Linked DNA regions of Drosophila melanogaster. The protein of the gene in region 2 interacts with the protein of the main gene of each other region in a pairwise test. Each region holds a gene or a part of one and is shown on either strand. Other genes may lie near its edges.

Region 1 (5,078 bases), on a different chromosome or scaffold from region 2:
GAGGTCAAAGGGGAAAGGGCCAGTTGCGTGTTTCACTTTGGTGCCAGCCAAAGTTCAGCTCAGAAAAGCCGCACAACCCATTTTACACAACTCTCCGAGACAGACAAACAGCGTTTCGAAACCTTTCGACTTTGGCCTATTCAAAAACTCGTTTATCGATTCAAACTGGTCCCGCGAACCCATCGATTTGCGCTCTGTGAATATGAGTTCTATGCAGTCGAAGGCGTTACGCATCTTACTCGAGGAAAGTTTCTGCCCCCGGCTTATTGATTTTTCCACGGGTTTCCATTTCTTATCTGAATGATTGGCCTGCAAATATAGTCGGTGGTCAGTTTACTCGCCACCCGCCTTCGGCTGGCCAAAAGGTATTTGAACTGCGGGGCCAATTGTTTTGACCACGTTTGGTCAACCATTTGAGGACTAGGGTTGCCAGGGCAACCACTAAATAATTAAGGGTCCGCGCATTGATTTGTCAACGTGACCGAGGGCCAAACAAAAATCGGAGTTGAATCGTAAAAAGTGCTCACACTTCTCGGTTTATTTGTTTGTTAACCCAAAAACATCATTTTCCCTTTTCCTGGAAGTTGCTTTTCCGAGGAAAAGCTTTGACCGGCAAAGGATGCGCCATGCGAAAGAGAAAATAATGGAGAGCGGAGAGTAAAAAGAACGCTGAGAGGGGTTGGAAAATGCAGGCAGTTACACGAGCAAAAAAATTATATTAAATTTAAGTTTTGTTTTTAGTTTGTGGCAGGCGAAAAATGAACTTTAAACTGGTATAGAAAAAGTTTAAGTATTAATAAAATAAAATTGATTTGTAATGGGGCTCTTAACTACTACTTAGTGCAAAAACATACTACCGAATTAAATATAAATCGAATTAAATTTGAATTGTTTTACATTTTCTCTATAATACCTTCAAATGTTGCCCTATTTATTTATTTATTTCATATTTAATAATAAATGAGATGCTTTAAGTTATTTTTTTCTGTGCACAGTTTTTCCTGCCTAGTTTTCCTGGCTTTCAACAGCGCCAACAGCCAGTGACACAGTTTCCACATTTTGGGGTGGCTTCCAGGGGTGTAGAGAGATACGGAACCAGAAACGAGGGTTGCAGATGGACGAGGCACGCAATTTGGGCCTCTATCGCACGGAGGATCGCCGCAACGTCTTCATAGAGAGCCATTAGGAACACACCCAAAATAAAAGCCAAGCCCAAAATTGAGCAAACCCTGAGCTCGGTTGAAGGATGTGCGGAAAAATGTGGCGTTTTCTTTTTGGAGGAAGAAAAAAGGGTTTGCTTCACTTACCGTATCACAAAGAACGCAATTTGTAGATGTAATTATAGTTGTTGAATCCGCAGGATAAAGTGTGTTGCAATTTGTGTTGTTCGTGGAAGTAAAAATGGATGGCATTATTTGGGGAGAAATCACAACCGTAACCGTAACCACATATGTAATGGCTTTTTAGCCCTGATTCTGCGACTTGTCGGCCGAAATGTACTTGGTTTTCAGGTGTTAGAAAACATATTTATAAAATGCAAATACCCAGTGATTGATTAGTGACAAAAAGCTTAGACCCTGCTCAATTTGTGGGTATTCATGTGCATGTATTTCAGTATGGTTTGCACGTGAGTTAGGTGGCCAAATATATAAAAGTTTCATTAAATTCCAGAGCCAGTTATTTAGGGCCAGCAATTTCTCTGTGCGAAATGCAAATCGATAAAGGAGAGGGAGTGTGGTGGTTGGTTTTCAAAAGGGGGTGGTGGTGGCGGGCGGAAAAGCTTGGCACACATAGTAAACAAATGGTGTTTTCACTGAATTTTTATATGCTCTACTCACACGGTTGACCGAATTTTAAAGGCCACGTTAGCAAATAATATTCCTACGAATTTCGATTTAGTGCAAACAACAAAAAGTTCTACCAAAACACTGCCGATTATTCTTGTCTCAAAAATAATGCCGTTTCGTATTTTATTACTTAATATTTTTCAAATTATTTAACTATTTCGCTGCAGCGAGATAGAAGATAGTCGTGCTCTTCTCGCGTTGATGATGAAATTCTTTCGTTTGTTATTGTTCTTTTTTTTTGTTGTGTTTTTGTCACTTTGTTCGTTGCGAAGATGGCGATAAAGGAGAAGCGAAGAGGGGAGGCGAGGCAAATCGAGTAGACGTGTGAAGAATTTTACAAACTTCCGTAAAATTAACTAAAATTGAAAGACACAATTGATATCTTTTGTTCAATAAAGTCGTCATTTCAGCAATAACAATATTTTCGATTTATGCTAAAAAGTGTAAATCTAAGTTTTGACGCTTGAAATTGGCATTTTGCTATATAAAATTTAGTAAAGCATTAAAAATTCCACAATATTTAAATTCAAATCGAATGAAGCCACTCAAGTTACAGATAATCAAAAACAGAATAGTGGAAGCCACTCAAGTTTAAATAAAATACAATCGAGTTATTCAAGTTCGCCTGTGTTGTATTCAAACTTAAGTTCAATGTCGTCGGTTGCTTCCGCTTGCTCATAAAAGTTTCTTTTGCGATTGTTTCTCTGTTATATTTGAATGTCTTCGATAAGAAATCATAACATTCAAATTATGTAGATTGTCCGTTGGCCTTTGTGTGCTTTACACTGCACTACCCGGTTTTAGTTTTAACTACTTTACACTGACACGTTACTACTGGGCCACACAGTCGCTTTAGTGGTTTTCTATTTAAACTTGGCCAACATTTAAATTTCCCCAGCCACAATAACAACAACAACAATTAGAACCACTGAAGAGAAAGAGAGAGAGCGAGACAATCAGCTGTTTGCAGCATCAATGAAGAACGCTGCTTTTCGGCAGTCTTTAATTTCGATTTAAGTTCGGCATTATAATAAATTGTTTTTGTGTAGAACAAGCAACACATAGCCACACACGCACACACAGAAACACGCGCGCACAGTTTATATGTTAAATTGTATATTTCTGCAATGCTTTTTAAATATTTTGCTGCGGTACAACAAATATTTTTGCGGTTTGTTGCCAAATTTCCCATATACAACGTACACACGCTTATCGAATAAGCTTTCGTTTTATCATTTTGTTTCTTTATTTTATGTTCTTTTTTTTCTGTTGAGCACTAGGAACAATAAGAAATCTTTGCCGCCGCTATTTTATTTTTCATCCGCGAACGAAACGAACACCAACCTTACTCGTTGAATGTCAAAGAGAGAATAACATTCGCTCATAACATTAATGTTAAAAGAGTAGAAGAAAAATTATCGATATTTGTCGTCTTGGTATCGATAGCCATGTTTAGGCACTTGTTGCTCCCTGCAAATGTTGCGCAACATGGTTTCTAAAAAATATATTTTTTATTGATCTTAGTTTTTAAGTTCATTGTAAATTTGGAAGAAACAATTGTATCCATGTTTATAAGTTTCAACATTGAAAAATCGATAAAGCAACACATAGATTTTGTGGCAACTCCATATACTATGATTCGAATCCAAACCGCAGAATCCTTTAAACTCAAAACATTTTTAGCGGGAAAGCAGCTCGTTTTAAACTGCAAAATTCAAACATAAATAATATAATAATTTTAAATCTGAAAAATAGCAGCCTAATAGTCCAAGACCTTTACTGCCATAAATGTAGAAAATTGAAACAAATGTTGGTTTTTTTTTTACATACAAACGTTGCTGTTTATTTCACTTTACGTTCTTTTGTTGAATATGCATATAATGTTTTTGCGCTTCTACTTCGTTTCCCGATCGCCGCCGCTTCTATAACTTACGCCCCTTAACGATCTAAGTGAATCCGTTGCTGATTTTTAATATATATTTTGATCTCGAGTCAATGCTGGCTGCTACATCGTTTCCTCATCTCTTGTATGTATATTGAATATTCTGGTTGTATATAAGTGTATAATATATTTAATTTAATACATAAAAAGGTTGCGCCCACTGCAAGGCGCATCGATTTTCATTTGCTTCGTTTAAAATAGTTTACGTGTGTTTAATATTAAATTGTTTCCATTGTTTTCGCAATGCAAAGATCATATATAAAAATACAAAAATCATAACATTTACATACACACCGGACCGGACCGTGTGTGTGGCCGTCATATAACTAGGTATTTCATATACTCTATATAATCATATATATCATATATCGACGCAACCTCGCACAGTCAATATAAATTATTGTTAAATTACAAAAAATTAAAATGTATATATGTATTCGAATTATACACAACTACCACTCTCTATCGCTTTCACTTTTCAGTATAAATAAATTTTTGTCCACTTAATAAACAATTTCACTTCTTTATGCTTAAGAACTAAACTCTTCTTATCCTTTATCCTTCCTCTGCTCCCGCCTCGTGTCCTTCCTTTCGTCCTTCCGCTTTCCCACTATCTGATCCACCTTTTTTTCCGATTTGCTTGGCCTGCTATCTTTCAATAATTTCGCTATTTAGTCTTAGTCGTATATGGAAGTTGAATTGGTACGCATATGTTCAGGAGCGGCATTTTGCGCCGAGTCTGGGGGGAGTGTACATTATTTATGGGCGTTCCTTTATATATTTATAAGTATTATTAATATGTATAATACGCAGCAGTCGATTGTTAATTTAGCTTTCTAATTTCGCTGTATAGATCGTATAGATCGCTGGATCGCAGTAATTATTCGTGTGACACTAATGCTAAGTTGCTCGAGCTAACTCTGAGTCCTGAACACCACGCTCAATTCCGCTTTGAACTGTTTTTTTTTTTTGTTTGTTTGTTTATGTTTCTGATTTGCTGAAGACTTGCTGGTTCTTAAATTGAGTCGTATGAGATCGTGTGCTTAGGAAAATGTTGTGGTTTTGTTGTAGGAAATGCGTGGAGTTTTTCCATTTTTTCAGGAGCTTTGATGGATGACGTTTGTGGAATTGTTTTCATTTCGTTTTTGAGTCGTAATACTAGTTCCCTTTAGGTTAGTTTAATGAGTAGTCCATATATATTAAACCACATATATATATATATATATATATGCATGTTTTTGTGGCTGTGTATAGAGAGATACGTTCTATGTATAATTACAAACGTTGTT
Region 2 (4,562 bases):
TCTTGGATGGTGAGCATCTGCAGGAGACCGAGTGTCACAGTGGCAAAGAGATGGACCCTTCCGAAACCTGTGGGCGTGAGCTATGCTTGTGCATGCAAAGCGTTTCTTGACTTTTGAATATTTACCAATATCTTCCATCACCGAATCAAAGTGCTCCATCTTGTGTGCATTGGCTATTAATTAGGACTTAAAATTTGCAAAACGAATACTGTTTCGTGTTTAATATATCCTTGTCGTGTTTGTTCTATTTATTTTGATTAAAATCGCAGGGCCTAGACCAGCTGTATGTTCTCAACTTCCTTAATTAGATCCATGTGCTTGAACTCGTCCGGCTTACGGGTAAAAGTGTTCAGCAAGCGCAGCTTGCCCTCGTCGGGCTTCAGGTAGAACATCTGCAACTCATTGGCCAGACACTGAGCCTCCTGGGCTGTGAGTACCTTAGTGTCGTATTCACCGCGCATGAGAACTACACCCTTGTCTTGGACCTCGGTATAGTGAACCACTGTGAGACACTCCGGAGCGTTCTCATGGTGCACCTGGTACGCCAAAAGCGGAGTGAAGTGCACGGTGTTGGCTGCGAACTGGAGCATGACAAACTCGAATCCCTCACTGCGGGGCAGTGGCAGCAGAAAGACGGGGTGCTCCTTGGCGCGCGCCATGAGGTTCTCGTACTGAGATGTGCTTAGAGTGGCGGCCAGGACCTCCTTGGTCTTATGGTACTCCAGCCAAATCTGGGAGACCTCTTCGGCGGTCTTGTCCTCAATCAGTTCCAGTTTCATGATATCAGTGAGCTTCTTGTGGGGCAGTTCAGCTGCCTGCTCAGCCTGCAGTTTTTGCTTGGGATTCAGAAGCTCGGAGTAGGACCTGGAATTGGCAAGGGATCAGCTATGGATTGTCTTCTGCCCGAATACTGAGCTTACCTGGCCTGGCTCTGCCCATCTTTGATGGGATTCACCACACGCTCCACGCGATCCAGGAACTCCTCAGCCGACGTCTGCTGCAACTTGGCAATCTTGCTCGCGTACTTGGAGTAGTAGGGATTGTCCTCCTTCAGCTTCTCAATGGCCTCCTCGGCACGTCGCGCGGCGGACATGGTGATTGTGCGGTTCGCCGTCAAAGAGTTATTCAGGAAAACGCGAAAAAGCAATTTCTTGGCGCATGCCATTTCCTCACCTCACATCAAAAATTATACAACTAGACAGCTGATTCTGATTGTCAATAAGAAAATCGATACTATATATATCGATAGTTGGCTCTAGCGATGGGCTATGGGCGCGGGTAAGACTTTTTCTACATCACATGCGCGATGCTCAAAATAATTATTATCTTTTTATTTATTTATTTTATTTTTGTGACACAAAATGTTAAGCTGCAGACCGTATTTCGTCTAGGCTGCCATGACGTTTTAAAACAAATCCAGTTAGCTGCTTATTTCAAAAGTAGGCAATTGCAAACATACATTTTTTACAGTCATTACTACTTTGGCGGAAAAACATAGGAAGTTGATAAATTTGAAATCTTCACAGTTTCAACACAAAGGTAGAGCGTTACATATTTATGTCGACATGTTCGCAAAAATAAGTATTTAAATTACACATTAATATTTTTTAATAAATGTAAATAACCGGTTATCTAATCATGAACTAATCTAAAACCTTCTGGGTATCATTTATTATTTATTTTTCAAAATATTCGTAATTTAATCTTTATATTTAGTTGTTTTCATCACTAAATTAAATGTTTCAATAGGGAACGACACTGACAGCCAATAAATTCTACAAACAAGAAATGGTTCGTATTTCATAATCTTACTTGAAATCCGTACTTAGACCTCCTTTGTAGCGCATTTGGTTAGCAAATAGGCTATACTCGATTAAAAGAATATGGAAATGAACATATAGGGAAATAAGACAGGGGTGCAGTAATAAAGTAAACTGAAGAGTTTATTTAAATAGCAAACAACTTTCACTACTTTTAGGAGCCATTACCCTGGCATACAATAAAATTGGAAACCAGATGCGTAAGTAAGTTCTATAATATTATTCGTGATTACCAGCCCTGGGTCTTCAGTTCACCGCACGGTCGAAAATTTTGTATAAATATCCGCAGTGAAATCAAGGTGATTTTCATTAAAGCCGTTCTTTGTTAAAAACGACTGCAACTTTTGCTTCTATCGGATAGACTTTTTTTCGCCGCCAATTCAAGCGTAAACCATACTTCTAAAAATGGATACGGATATTCAAAGATGCTTCCGGAGCAAAACGGTGTTCCTAACTGGAGCCACCGGCTTTTTGGGTAAAGTCGTTATTGAGAAACTTTTGCGGACCACAGAGGTGAAACGCATCTATGTGCTAATTAGACCAAAGCGCGGAGTTGAGATTAAGGATCGGATTATCACCTGGTCAAAAGATGCGGTAAGTAAGGCGATAGGAAATTTAAAAGAAATACTCACTCGAAAGGTGTGGAAAAGGTATTTGAACTGCTGCTGAAGTCCAAGCCGGAGGCACTTCAAAGAGTATGTCCCATCGCTGGGGATTGCCTCGACTTTGATTTGGGAATCAGCGAGAATGATCGAAGACTTCTGGCCTCCGAGGTGCAGATTGTCATCCATGGAGCTGCCACCGTGCGATTCAATGAGCCGCTTCACGTGGCCCTGGCCATCAACACAAGGGCCACCAAGCTGATGATTCAACTGGCCAAGGAAATGAGGCAGCTGGAGGCCTTCGTTCATGTATCGACCGCCTTCTCCAACTGCGTTATCTACAACATCAAGGAAAATTTCTACCCCGAGCATCTCAACTGCAGTTCCGATAAGGTGCTTGCAATGGCAGAGCTGATGAGTGACGAGCTACTGGACAACATGGAGCAAGCGCTCCTTGGCTCGTTTCCCAACACGTACACGTACACCAAAGCACTGGCGGAGGATGTGATCCTGAAGGAAGCGGGTGGCTTGCCACTTTGCATCTTCCGACCGGCAGTCAGTAAGTAATCCTTATTACGTACTCTGTCTACATCTTGTCATTTCTACCCTTACCCAGTTATTGCGGCCCACAAGGAACCCATCTCCGGCTGGATAGACAACATGTACGGACCAATGGCAATTCTTTTCGGGGTGGCCCGTGGAGTACTGCGCATTGCCACCATCGATCACCATGCCGAGGCAAGCCTGGTGCCCGTGGATTATTGTGCCAATTTGACTCTGGCCTGTACCTGGAAGACCATTGTGGAAGGTAACGAGATGGGAACACAAGAAACTCCTCTCATCTACCAACTGGCGCCCATTGAGCAGAACAAGATCACCCACGGGGAGTTCATTCGACATGCTCTCGATGGACGCACCAACTGCCCGCTGACAAAGATGATATGGTATCCCTTCATCCACTGCATCACAGTGCCGTGGCTCTTCCCCCTGGCAGCTTTCTTCTATCACACCCTGCCAGCCTACTTTTTTGACCTGGCTCTCTGGCTGAGTGGCCGGAAGCCCAGACTAGTAAAGGTTTACCAAAAGATCCACAAGACTCTCGGCATCCTGGGCCCATTCGCCTGCAAAAGCTGGCGCTTTGACATGCGGAATACGGATCACTTGAGGCAGCAGATGTCGGAGGAGGATCGAAGGATATACTACTTTGATATGGTCAGCCTCAACTGGAAGGAATACTTCGTTCAAGCTCTGCGTGGCATGAGACAGTTCTTGGGAAACGAGGCACCCACCCCAGAGTCCATTGCACAGGGCAAGAAGCTCATTAAGCGGTAGTTTCCATTGTCTTTTCTGTTTCTTACAAAGTGTATTACATCTAATTGTATTTTAGTTTAAAGCTGCTCCATCATATCCTGCAAGGTGTCCTTTGCTTTGTGGCACTACTAGCACTGTGGTCGTTGGTAAGGATCCTAGTCTGATTCAGCAGTACATAGGCAACCCACCGACTCACTTTCGTAATTGCGTCATGGAATTAAATAAATATATACAACACATAGACATGTCTTTTATTTAATTACTTGAATGGTGGTAGCTATAAGGTTTTTTCCTCACGAGCCGATCTAAATAGGTGCACTGAGTGACACAATCGATTGCATAAAGTATACGCAACTGGTTACATCAAGAAGTGATATATATACAATAGTATGCACCTATTATAATGTAATAATTTTTTAATTGAAATCGCTCTCTGGTATTCTATTGATCAAACCTTATTGAAATAAATAGGCCATAAATTGGTATATAAAATGTTATGATATAACATATATATGTGTGGTTCCTATACAGAATACAAGGTCTAGCACATATACGGTGTAGTCACGAGGATACTTATATGCGATTACGTAACGACTGATCGGGGACTTCTTACACGTGCCCATACAAAATTTATATACGCGGAAATACAAAGTCATCGCATGCAATTTATCATTTACCATTCTTGTTTACCATTCACACATATACTAATTTGAATTTCACGCAAGAGATGGCAGCTCTATACTAAGTCTCGAATCAACTTTAAAATTTTAAATTAAATGCACCAAGGTTATTTTCATTCGTAAGCAAAAATATAATTAATAAATGCAAC

Evidence for each region.
Region 1: the proteins of CG17562 (region 2) and CG10737 interact in a two-hybrid assay, tested with the Drosophila melanogaster proteins (one large-scale study listed by BioGRID).

What each region holds. Positions count from the first base shown.
Region 1 is NT_033778.4:19,162,289-19,167,366, reverse strand, and holds the start of CG10737 (uncharacterized protein), read right to left. Parts: upstream 3,225-5,078; 5' UTR 3,192-3,224; intron 2,204-3,191; exon of another isoform or gene 1,308-2,203; intron 1-1,307.
Region 2 is NT_033777.3:16,613,184-16,617,745, forward strand, and holds CG17562 (uncharacterized protein), read left to right. Parts: upstream 1-2,125; 5' UTR 2,126-2,225; coding exon 2,226-2,414; intron 2,415-2,470; coding exon 2,471-2,981; intron 2,982-3,038; coding exon 3,039-3,750; intron 3,751-3,809; coding exon 3,810-3,897; 3' UTR 3,898-3,971; downstream 3,972-4,562. Other genes in the region: CG12783 (uncharacterized protein), read right to left, coding at 1-67, 126-159; CG10340 (uncharacterized protein), read right to left, coding at 273-864, 921-1,165.